Linked DNA regions of Tamandua tetradactyla. The protein of the gene in region 2 purifies or fractionates together with the protein of the main gene of each other region. This does not show direct contact. Links are inferred from orthologs where the notes say so. Each region holds a gene or a part of one and is shown on either strand. Other genes may lie near its edges.

The links.
Region 1: the proteins of PRKACA (region 2) and PALM2AKAP2 purify together in Homo sapiens (affinity purification with mass spectrometry; 5 studies listed by BioGRID and IntAct, with this or other methods). This does not show direct contact. The link is inferred for Tamandua tetradactyla from reciprocal best matches to the Homo sapiens genes PRKACA and PALM2AKAP2.
Region 3: the proteins of PRKACA (region 2) and MAP2 purify together in Homo sapiens (affinity purification with mass spectrometry; 3 studies listed by BioGRID and IntAct, with this or other methods). This does not show direct contact. The link is inferred for Tamandua tetradactyla from reciprocal best matches to the Homo sapiens genes PRKACA and MAP2.

The regions. Positions count from the first base shown.
Region 1 is NC_135328.1:28,593,145-28,596,892, reverse strand, and holds the start of PALM2AKAP2 (A-kinase anchor protein 2), read right to left. Parts: upstream 2,357-3,748; 5' UTR 2,342-2,356; coding exon 2,289-2,341; intron 1-2,288. UniProt on the Homo sapiens protein: Binds to regulatory subunit (RII) of protein kinase A. May be involved in establishing polarity in signaling systems or in integrating PKA-RII isoforms with downstream effectors to capture, amplify and focus diffuse, trans-cellular signals carried by cAMP.
Region 2 is NC_135337.1:88,739,676-88,743,423, reverse strand, and holds the start of PRKACA (cAMP-dependent protein kinase catalytic subunit alpha), read right to left. Parts: upstream 2,323-3,748; 5' UTR 2,308-2,322; coding exon 2,253-2,307; intron 2,186-2,252; exon of another isoform or gene 2,105-2,185; coding exon of another isoform or gene 2,083-2,104; intron 841-2,082; exon of another isoform or gene 523-840; coding exon of another isoform or gene 370-522; exon of another isoform or gene 306-369; intron 1-305. Other genes in the region: SMIM46 (small integral membrane protein 46), read right to left, coding at 370-522.
Region 3 is NC_135329.1:184,749,347-184,753,094, reverse strand, and holds the start of MAP2 (microtubule-associated protein 2), read right to left. Parts: upstream 2,970-3,748; 5' UTR 2,514-2,969; intron 1-2,513. UniProt on the Homo sapiens protein: The exact function of MAP2 is unknown but MAPs may stabilize the microtubules against depolymerization. They also seem to have a stiffening effect on microtubules.

The DNA.
Region 1 (3,748 bases), on a different chromosome or scaffold from region 2:
AACATAAACTGGATGCAGTAAATAAGGGGAATTGAGTCCCTAACTGATTCCTATTCTAGGCTGATTGTCCTACCTAGAATGAGATTTTAGGAGAGTTTAGATTGAGAGGAAAGGCAGGATTTGGCATATGGGAAATTTAAATAAGACCCAAGGAAGAACAAAAAAAGATGGTATTCTGAAAGAAAAAAAAAAGAATTCAAGAGCTAATTATATTAAAGAAGGAAAGGAAATGGGGCAGAGAGACAATTATAAATAGAGAAGTTCAGCGGGAAGGTGAGGGACCTTTAACTTCACGTGGGAACTGGAAAGCCAGGGCCAGGTCAACCAGGAAAGAAAAAGTCTGACTAAAGCAGCAATCTGGAGCCTGTGGAGCAAGAGGAAGACTGTGATGAAAAAGAAACTCCAAGCTTGAGGTGAGCACACTGGAAACAAACCATTAGCTGGGGGACTAAGAAAGAATGGGAGAAAGGTCTGAAGAGGTAAACTTACAAATCCTGTATGCTGTTCCACTGTTATTGAGTACCCAAGCGCTAAGCCTGGGAGAAATATGATATATATTAGATTATAGATGTAAGACTGTAAGATAAAGGTTACTGCCCTGGCAAGCAATCAAGGTACACTTCAACCCTGCACAGTGGGATTACTAGGCCTATGTTCAATGTCTTGTAAAGGACGGTCAAAGAAAATGACAATGAGGAATGAGAATGGAACTTGCCCAGTGTCTGCTCTGTCTACCCACGCCTGCTCATGTCTTCTGGTTGATATTCCACACCTACCACAAACAGTACCTTGAGAAATCTGGCAGCCATATTACTCTCAGGGCTTTCCCTTAGGGCACTGTGTTCTTTATAAATTGTCTGGGAAAAAAATAGCTTGGTGCCAACCTGCAATCCCATCAAATGTCACCGGATAATGCTAGAGACCACAATAATCATGACAGAAAAAGATAATATCTATGCGCAAGGCTCTGTTCAAAGCACTGTACATGTATCCACTTATTCAATTTTTGCAAAAATCATAAGCAATATTTATTTTAATTATTCCCATTTTCCAGATGGGGAAAGTAGTACAGAAAAATTAACATTATTTGGCAACATGCCAAAGAACTCAAACCCAGACAATAGGACTCCAGAGGTGAGTTCTTAATCTTGGCACTAGTCACTTAAATTTGTACATACCTTACAATTTACACAGCCCTTTAGAAGAGATACAAATATTATCTGAGCCTCTCAACAACACTTAAAAGTAGATAAGGAATATTTTTGTCTCCACTGTACAAAAAAAGAAACTGAGGCACAAAGACATGAAATTATTGGTATATGGAATCAACACTAGTAGCAGGCAAGGCAGAACCTGAAATCCAGGGCTGTTCACTTCTCAAATGCCACACCATCTCTCACTTTTGCTTTACCAGCCTCGTTGGTGGGGTCTAAATTGCATCTAGACAATCAGATATGCAGAAGGATAAGGGCTGCATCTAGGGTTAATTCTGTTTGACATGAAGGACTTTAATACCTAAAAACATGACATTATCTCCAGGCTGAAATATGATTTCATACAGCTTCAGTGTCAGTGAGTATCCGTGGGAAGGGAAAAGGAGGAAGAGAAACTGACCAGCTATCTAATAACTGGCTTCAAAAACGACCCTTTCTTGGAGTGGCTGGCTGTCGCCTGTCAGAGTGGCCCTGCTGCCGCAGCAGCTTGGGAGGGTGAGTGGAAAGCAAGGGAGGGATGCAAAAGCAGAGGAGAGAGGAACCAGAACCCGGCCCTTTATTGTGTCTTTTCTGGATAACGCCTCTCTTGCCTTCTGCCCTCCTACCTCCACCCCTCCCGTGCCTTGTCTACAGTGCCAAACATTGTAATTCAATCCCTGGCAGCCATTCATACATTTTAGTCTTTTTTCTCAATTACCCTAACAGCAAATCAATTATTTTGAGTCTTCTTATGGTGTCTACTGTCCAGAGCATTGCAGACTTGACTCATATTACCCCCAACTCATCATTCTTCCATTACACTCTCACAACGAACCACATTTGCTTCCGATCCGCAGTAACCGACCCCCCCCACCCCCACCTTTTTAAACTGCAGTCCAATAACGCTGACATGGTTAGGAATCGGAAGTAATGGCTATTGCGGCCAACTCCCTGAGAAGCAGAAGCTTGGGGCAGAGATGGGGAAGCCCAGGACATGCCTCCCTCCTTAACAGCACCCCCACCCCCCACGCCCTATTCCAAGGCCCTGCTGACCAAAGGGCAATGGCACAAAACCACACATCCTGGGTCTCCTACCCCTGGTTTCCTGCCGCGGTAGCTGCTGCTATAGAAACACCAGGCGTACACATTGGACTGAAATTAAACACCCATCCGGGACTGGAACCAGAGCTGGATCGGCCTGCTGCCTCGGTCACTATGGCAACATACAGAGTGGAGGGCCCCATCAGCTTGCGCAGCACAGGGGATACTCACTCCATCGCGGGGCTCCGGGCCGCCCGGACGCGCTGCTGCGGAGCTCACCGGCGCTGCTCGCCTCTGCCGGAGTGGAGCGCTCTGGCCTCGCCACGCGCGAGGTGAAGCCGACAGCCGTCTCCCCTCCTCGCTCACACCCCCTCCCCCTGAGGGTTGAAAGTGAATGCTCAGGCTCTCTCAGCTCCCAGCCTGCGAATAAAACGGTAAGCAATTGGATAATGTTGTTCGCTGGGCGCTAGACGAGCCACTCCAATTAAGTGTTTCGGGGGAGCGGGCGAGCTGGTAGCTGCGCGCCGGACGATTTGGCCACCAGTGCGCAGTGCCCCGGCGCCGGAGGCGCCAGGTGCGCCCGCGGTTCCCCTAGGACCGATGGTGCTGCACAGAGATGGGTGGGGTAGGAGGAGGGGTGGGAGGGCGGTGAGAGGTGGGGAGAGAAGACGGGGCCAGCTGCGGTGGGTGGCACAGCCCAAAGCAGTAGGGAAACGATTGAGTCATTGGTAAGGCTGCAGCTCTAGTTGCTTGTAAGTTGCAAGAGAAGGAAGCGTCTGGGCTCTGCAAATAGTAAGCACTGCCCCCAGTGGTCTGGGCATGGGCTCGGAAACGCCATTGTGCCAGCCCAGCGGGCATCTGTCTGAGTTTCCCAAGGAAAACTCCAGCTACGCTGCAGCGAATTAACACAGTTTCACCACCTTGACGACCCTACAGGCCTTTCTCGTTAGCACTCCATCTTCTGCGTATTCCTGTCCGCCAGGAAGATGTGGCCCAGCGTTACTTTACCTAGTTTGTTTTATGAAAACAATTGGTATATTGAATATGCTTTTCAAATTACCACGGTCCCACCCCCAAAGTAATCAGCCCCCTGGGACATGTATTCCCTCCATACACCGGGTCTCTGAGAACCCGCTACACCTAATGGCTTCTAGAGGGGGAATCTGCTTCCCATCCAAGTGCCCTTTATCGAGGCAGGGAAGAGTAGATGGGACAAGCCTTTCAACGTATACTTACTTACTGGCCCCTCTGGGGTAGGTGTCTGCTAGCTAGGTGGGTGCTCAGGATGCAGCTGGTGTCCTGTGCATGGTCATCATAGTGCCCACTCTCCTGGAGCTCACAAGCTAAAAAGGAAAGACAATACACAGTTAAAGAGAAAAATCAACATACCATCACAAATGGAAAAACAATGCTATAAAAATTTAGTAATAAAATGCTGTGGTGTTATAAAATTGTTTTGTAATGATGGTTGCACAATTCCCTGAATATACTAAAAACCACTGAATTGCACACTT
Region 2 (3,748 bases):
GAAAGCCTGGTCCTGCTTGCCTCGTTTGTCTCAAATGTCCCCACAAGTGGCTCTTTCCTGACTCAGTGGCTGCCCATGGGTTTCCCAATGAGTGGTTGCCAAGGGTGCCTTGCTCAGCCCTTCTCAGGCCTCAAAGCATGAAGGATCCAAACCAAGTTCCCTCTGGTGCCATGGGGGCACTGCTGGCTTGCCAGCTTTGGGGAAGAGAGTGGAGAAGGGGAGCAGTGCTAAGAGAAACAGGTGGATAAAGAGGGATGATGGGGAGGGGCAAGGAGTAAACCCCAGCTGGTAGCCCCCACACTCACCTCTGCTTCCTGCCTCTTCCAGCAGAGGACAGGTGGGGGTGGGTGTGGTGGGGTGATCTGGGGCTCAGGGTGCTGGCTGTAGCTTGGGCCTCGAGAGGGTGTGGCGCAGGTAGCTCAGGAAACGGACAGCCAGGTGGGCCCAGAGTAAGAGCTGCAGCCACACCTGGAAGGTGGTCTCCGAATCCCCACCCTGGCCACTGCCTGACCCCAGATCCATCCCAGGCCACCCTGGGCTCTCCCTGGAATCCTCCCTTTGCAGGGAAGTCAGGAAAATCAGTGCCTTGGAGCCTGCTTCCTTGGGAGGGCCTCCGGGACCGCAGAGGAGGCGCTGGTTGCCACGGAAGCATTTAAAGGTACCTGCTCCTGCTGCCCAGGGCTGGCGGAGGCCCTCTTTGGCAGAAGGCGGAGGGGACACTCTCCCGAGGGTGTTCCTCCTGGCCCGACAACCCCACAGCGGGCTGCTAAAGCTACCTTCCTGTTCCAGGGACTTCGTAGTTCCCGAGATGCCAGGCCCTGCCTTCCTCAGTGGATGTGGGTCTGCTCAGAAGATGGCAAATGAAGTACCCAGGGTGGTACTCCCTGGGCAGAGGGGAAGGAGTTAAGGCCCAGGCAGTAGTCAGAGATTCCCTGGGGGCTCAAGAGGCTCCAGAGCTCCGTTAATTAGCCAAGAGAACAGCTGGAAAGAAATGGGGGTGGGGGGAGCACGAGCTACCCCTATCTCGTCCCCTGAGTTCCCTTCAAACTGGAACCCCCGAATCATCCTATTCTGAGAGAGTAATGGGTACATCTGGCTCTTTGTCTCGATCCCATGCGGGGGCGGAGAGGGGAGGGCATCCTGGGATGTCCTTGGCCTCTGTCAAACCTTGCCCAGTGCTTGGCTCTGCTCTCGGCCATGAGAGTCCAAACCGGAAACGAAAGGCTAAACCCAGGCGTGGGGGAGGGGGAGGCAGCCTTGACTATCTTTCCTCCTTCCCTCCAGATCCCAAAGAAGCAGGGGGGTCGGTGGCACCCGGGGTCCCTGCTGGCAAGAGGAAGTGACAGAGAAAGGGACAGACGGCTGGTTTCCTCCACACGGGGCTGCGAGCCTCGTCTGCATTCAGCTTGGGTGCACAGAGAAAACCCCATGTACCCCTCAAAAAACCAGGGCCATGGACGAAGACAGAAACCTAGAAAGTCACCCTGCAAATGGGAGACTAGAACAGCAGAACGCCAAAACGGGCCAGGGGCTTAGCGGTTCCTTCAGAAGGAGCCCAGCCCCAGAGCCCCCAGGCAACAATCTCAGGTCCCGCCATCCTCCAAAACCCTGGCTGTCCTAGGAGTTCCAGGGCTTGGGAACTCCAGTCTGGGCCTGGCCCCCTACTCTGGGATGGCTGATATCTCCAGTCTAACCAAGAATCCATGAACTAGGCCCCCATTCTGGACTGAATCATTTCCCATCCAGTGCTGGACCCCAAAGTTGAACTGGACCAACCCCTATTCTTAGGTGAACCCCAACCCTGGCCGGACTAGCCCCTATTTCAGACAAACCCCAACAATGGGCTGGACCCCCATTCTGGGAGGATCATCCCCCCTTGTCTGAACAGGACCATGCATACCCCGCGTTCTGCCCCAGGTCCCCCTGGTCCGGGGCTGTTAGTAAGCAGGGGTTTCCGGGGCCAGCCAGAGGACCACAGAGTCTTCCTCAACTCTGGCTACCCAGACCCTACCGCTACCCCTCCCTGACTTGGGGGACAGGGAGTGCCCGGAAAGTTGCTATAGCAACAGGGCACAGCCTCACCATCGCTGGAGTTGGAAGCCATCACTCAGTCTCCCTCTCAAGGCACCCGGGCTACGGTGGCTGGGAGGGCTCATGAGACCTGCTGCACCAGCTAGGCGGCCCATCCCAGAACCCTGCCCATAGGGGGAGCCAGGGAGTCATGGGGTGGGGGACAGGAAGAGAAACTTAACCTGGAGGCCAGAGGGTGCAGTGGGTGCAGGGGAAAGGCACATGGGCCCTGCACATGCGATTGGGATAAGGGAGGGGTTGCCTCGGTAGGACCCTCTTGGGCACCCATACAACTGCCAATACATGGGAGGTGTTTTGCCCTCATGGGCATCTGTAGGAAGTATGAGGACAGCAGTTCTTTCCATCCAGGGACCTGCCCTGGGCCTGGGTTCTCCCCCTCACCAGCTCTGCCCCTTCCCCTGTGGGCCGGCTCCCAGGGGTGTCTTCAGCCAGTGCCAGTCCTGAGACCTAAGTCCCACTTGGCTGCCTGTCCATAGGGCCTCCTGGGGCCGCTGCCCTCTCTTAATTCCCTCGGTGTGGCCAGAGCCAGGGGGCCTGGTCTTTTTTTGCCTGTCCTCTCAGTTTCTTATCCAGCCCCTGCCAATGGCTTTGGGCATCTCTGGGTGCAGCCCCCAGGCTCGTTCTAGATCCCCGCGGTCTTGGGAGGAGGCAGATCTGGTCCTGCTCTGGCACGAAGGCAGCACAGTGAGCTTCAGGATGCTGCACTGGTACCCTGTAAGACTTGGGCATTTGCCTCACCCCAGTGGGGTTGATGTGCAGCAGATGAAATTCAGGTGCCTCCCACAGGTGGGACCTGGCCACTGCCCCTTACCTCACTCTAGTAACAAGAGGGCAAATGCTAGTCTGATTTCATCCTCTCAGATTCAGAACTTTGAAGCAAAGGGGGGCTTTCTTCATCCTATTTCCTTGACTGGGAGCCCCTGTGAGCCTCCAGGAGGAAGTAAAACTTAGGGCATCTCCCAACCATCCCAATGGCAGCAGGTGAAATGATTTTAGGGGAGACATATATCTCATTTTTCGAGCTCCATATGTATTTGAATGTGTATTGGAGAAAACATAACTGGCATGGCAATTTCATTTTATATTACTGCTTAGGACAGGGTCAAATTTTACATGTGAACCAAAGTGAGTTCAAGTTTTATTTTAAATTAAGAAAATACGAACGAACAGAGCAAGATCAGGGAGATGGCCAAGAATGTCTGTGTTGGGTAATTTTGGGGTCCAGGAAGTTTGCTGGTAGGCAGATCTGGATGTAAATCCCACCTCTCTGACATCATCTTTGTCAAACTCAGTGAGCTCATTTGGGAAATTCAGGTAACAGCCGCTTGTTGTGAAAAACGACACGAGAAGAAAGAACTCGGAAACTGTTTTGCCTGGCACATCCCAGATGCCCAACAAGCAGGAGCTCTTTTTTGTCATGACTGCCCATTCCTGGGTATCCGGCCTGCACTCCGAAGGAATTAACAGTTCCTTCTGGAGCCTCTGATCTTTTTCTTGGGGATCCTTTTCCCTGTGTCTTTCCACCCCTCACCCACTGCACGTGTCTGGTATACCCTGAAGGTTTTCCAGGACTATGTCATCTCCCCAACTTTCAACCGGACCACTGTAATATATAGCTGCTGGCCTCCACCTTCCATCTCCCGGCTGGCCTCACCTG
Region 3 (3,748 bases), on a different chromosome or scaffold from region 2:
TATAGCAATATTCTCAAAACTTGTCTATTCCACTCAGATTCAGGTAGTGTCAAAGGTATTTTCTCCTTTTATGAAATACTGCCATAGACGATTCAATTTTCCAATTATTTTCCGTCATGCCACATTCATTTCCAGTAGATGCCTGCTTCCTTCAGCTCTATTAAATAATGCCTTCATTTTAAGATCTTGGTTAACTGCTTCATTTTTCTCGACTATTCTTCTTACTAATTGCTATCTGACCTCCATGAGAAAGGTTGGAAACCTGTTCACCACCTTCTATTGCATCTGGCAATAGAATAGCTGTGAGGCTGTTCTTTGAATAAAAGTAATTAACATCTGTGCAGAATTTATTTTTATTTACAGAGTTTTGAGACATTAATAAATGTTATAAAATCCCTAACAGGTAAGTAACTATAATTCTCACACTTTTTCCAGAGGAAGAAACTGAGACATGCCTGGGATAAGTAGCATATGTCTACGTTTCTACTAAGGAAGGCAAGGAGAGAACCTGGACCTGGGACACAGTCCCTGCTCTATGCCTGCCACCAGTAAGCTGTTCTGTCTCACCAAAGTGTTCACAGCATTACACTTGAGAGCCTCCTGAACGGCTAAAAATTCTTAGTTTGGTTCTTATAGTGCAGATCTTACATAGAATCTGATAAGAATGGCAATTTTCTGGGACATCAGTCAGATGGGAAAATGAGTCTGTATTTCCTCTGGAGACCTCTAGGGCAAATATGTCCCCTGTGGAGAAAGGTGAAATGAAGACACATAGGATGCTCTTCAACCAACCTTCTTCCTCTTATCATTGCTGGATGAACACTACTCTCCTCTAAGTTTTCTACCTTAGACTTTAATAAAAAGTTAGGGGAAAATAATTGACTATTAAATATTTTCACTTCAGGTCTCAAATCATAATGGATTAAAAATAGAATTAGTATTAAAATTTGAATATTTCAAAATTGTGTTTAATTTACAAGGTATTGCTTCCCACAGGATACATAAGGTATCCTTTTGCATTATCCCTTTGTAACAATGGGTTTTTTCTTTTCAAAAATAAAATTAAAATTTTTTTTCCAGAAACATCCCCTATTTTTATTTACGTATGTTTTTAGAACTTTTAATTTTTAAATACTTTCAAAATTGCAAAAAAAAAAAAAAGGACCTTACAAAAAATAATACAAATCCTATATGGAAAACTTCACCATACCCATAATCCTCCAGACACCCAGATACCCTTATTTAAACATTTTGCCACATTTGCCATATCATTCTCTCTACCCATCTATCTATCCGTGTATATATATCTATCAATCCGATTTCTAAACACTTAGGTGTAGGTTGTATAAGTCACACTCCTTGAACACTTAATACCGCCATGCACATTTCCTAAGAATAAGAATATTCACTTATGTAACCACCTTATGTGCAGTTACCAAGTTCAAGAAATTTAACACTGATATAAGGCTTACATTTTTTTTCACCTGCCTGATAAATATTCTTTTGATCCTTTTCTCCCATGCTAGATCCTGTGGTTATTTGGAGCTGTGTATCCCAGAAAACATGTTGTTAAACTTATAAACCCATTGGAAGTGACCCAACTCAATCAGGATGGGTCTTAATCTTTTTACTGGAGTCCTTAATAAGCAGAATGAAACTCTGACAGATGGAAAGCCAAAGAGGGGGCAGCCAGAGTCTGAATATCAATGGAACACAGAGGAGAAAGGAAAGACTTGGTGACGAAGTCACGTGCCTTGCCATGTGAAAAGCCAAAGACCAGGGATCTCCAGCAGCCAGCCCCAGAACACCACAGTGGTCAAGGAGAAAGCCTGGCCTTGATGATGACTTGATCTGGATATTTTCCAGTCCTCAAACCCTGAGTTCATAAATTCCTATTTTTTAAGCCTACCCACTGAGCAGCCAAGAAAACTAAAAAAAATCCCATTCAGGATCATATATTGCATTTAATTGCCACTGTCTCTTTAGCTGCTCTCAAAAAAAAAAAAAAATTATAGGCACATATCCACAACACAAACTTTTCTATCTCAACCACTTCCAAGCGTACCATTCCAAGGAATGGATTACATTCACAATGATGCATTACCCTCACCGCCTTCCATTATTAAAACTGTCTCATCTCTCCAAACAGAAACCACACCCATTAGACATTAACTCCCCATTCCCCCGCCACCCACCCCTGGCAACCCTCCTCTACTTGCTTTCATATTGTTTCCTTAGTAACCATGAGACATGAATTTAACATCATAAATCTGTAACAATCTCATTTGCTTTGATATCAACCTCAACAGGTTAGACAAACTGTGCTCCTAACCCCCTCTGCACCCCACCCCCACCTCTAGATAGCGCCAGTCACAAATTACATATTTATTCATTACGAGTCCTAAACCACTGATTTATCGTTATGTTTTATGCCTTTGCCCTTTAGATTCTGTAGGAAGTAAAAAATAAGAGTTACAAATCAAAAACACATTTATATTTGCCCATGTCCTTACCTCACCAGTGACCTTTATTTCTTCCGAGGCTTCCGTCCGTTTCTCGAGTCTCCGGTAGGACGGAGCTACCGGATGAACTCCCTCAGCTTTTGTTTTTCAGGGACTGTCTTAATCTCCCTCTCATTTTTGAAAGACAGTTTTGCTGGATATAGAATTCTTTGGTTCCTTTTAGTAATTTGTATCCCTCTATTGATATCCTCTGTGCTCGTCTACCATTTTCCTGATGTCCCGTAGTTCTTTTCCAATTTCTCAGGGGTCAGGGGGTGGGGGTCGGTCCAGTCAGCCTGCTCCGAAATTTATAAAGCTTCTAAGTTGTTTTAATTTAGTGCTCTCCCTGGTAATGGAGCCCTTTAATTGTTTTTTCTGAGGCTTTGAGTACGATGTCTCTGCCAGTTCTCGCTGTTCCCTCAAAGCTCCTGTGCGTGGGTAGCGCCGGGAAGCCTCTTCCTCCGCCATCTTGATTTCTAGTCTAGGGCGCATCGCCTGCGCTTATATTTAAGCTAACTTTTTTTTTTTTTTTGCATGGGCAGGCACCAGGAATCGAACCCGGGTCCTCTGGCATGCATTCTTGCCTGCTGAGCCACCGTGGTCCGCCCTAAACTAACATTTTTGACAGGAATTAAGAAGTACTCTCTGAGTACAAGTACATTGGCTTGTATACTTGTTGACTTATTGGAGACGTAATTTCTTAAAACCTTTCCATTTTTCCCTCATGATTTCCTAATTTATTTGTACCGGTCTGACATTTTACTCTAAATGAGAAAATGCAAATTATTTACCGGTCTTTTCCAAATTTTTGCCTGAAAAGAATACCGTTCATTTCAAACAAGAAAAAAAAAAAAAGCAAAAGTTTTTAGAAACACATGAGGTAAATAATTGCTCTCTCTAGCTGTGTTTATGGAGTTATGTGGTTAAGGAGCAATTTAACAATCTCTCTTGAGTCTGTACTGCCTTTCTCTCTTCTGAGGTGAGGCAGAATCAAGAACCCTGGGGCTGCAGCTTTTTCCCTCTGCAGTTCCACTGTTTAGTCTGCCTTGGTCTGGGTTAATTTGGAAGAGAAGTCATATTGATTCTACAAATTTGATTTTACCCTAGACTCCAGGTTTAAGAGGTAGGCAGTATTCTCACTTTGGATAAGAATATCTTCAGCCAAAATATTGGCTTATGAGATTTCTAAATCTATACTTAGTCCATTCGAACATCCGGCAGTCGGGTAAACTGGGCATATACTAATA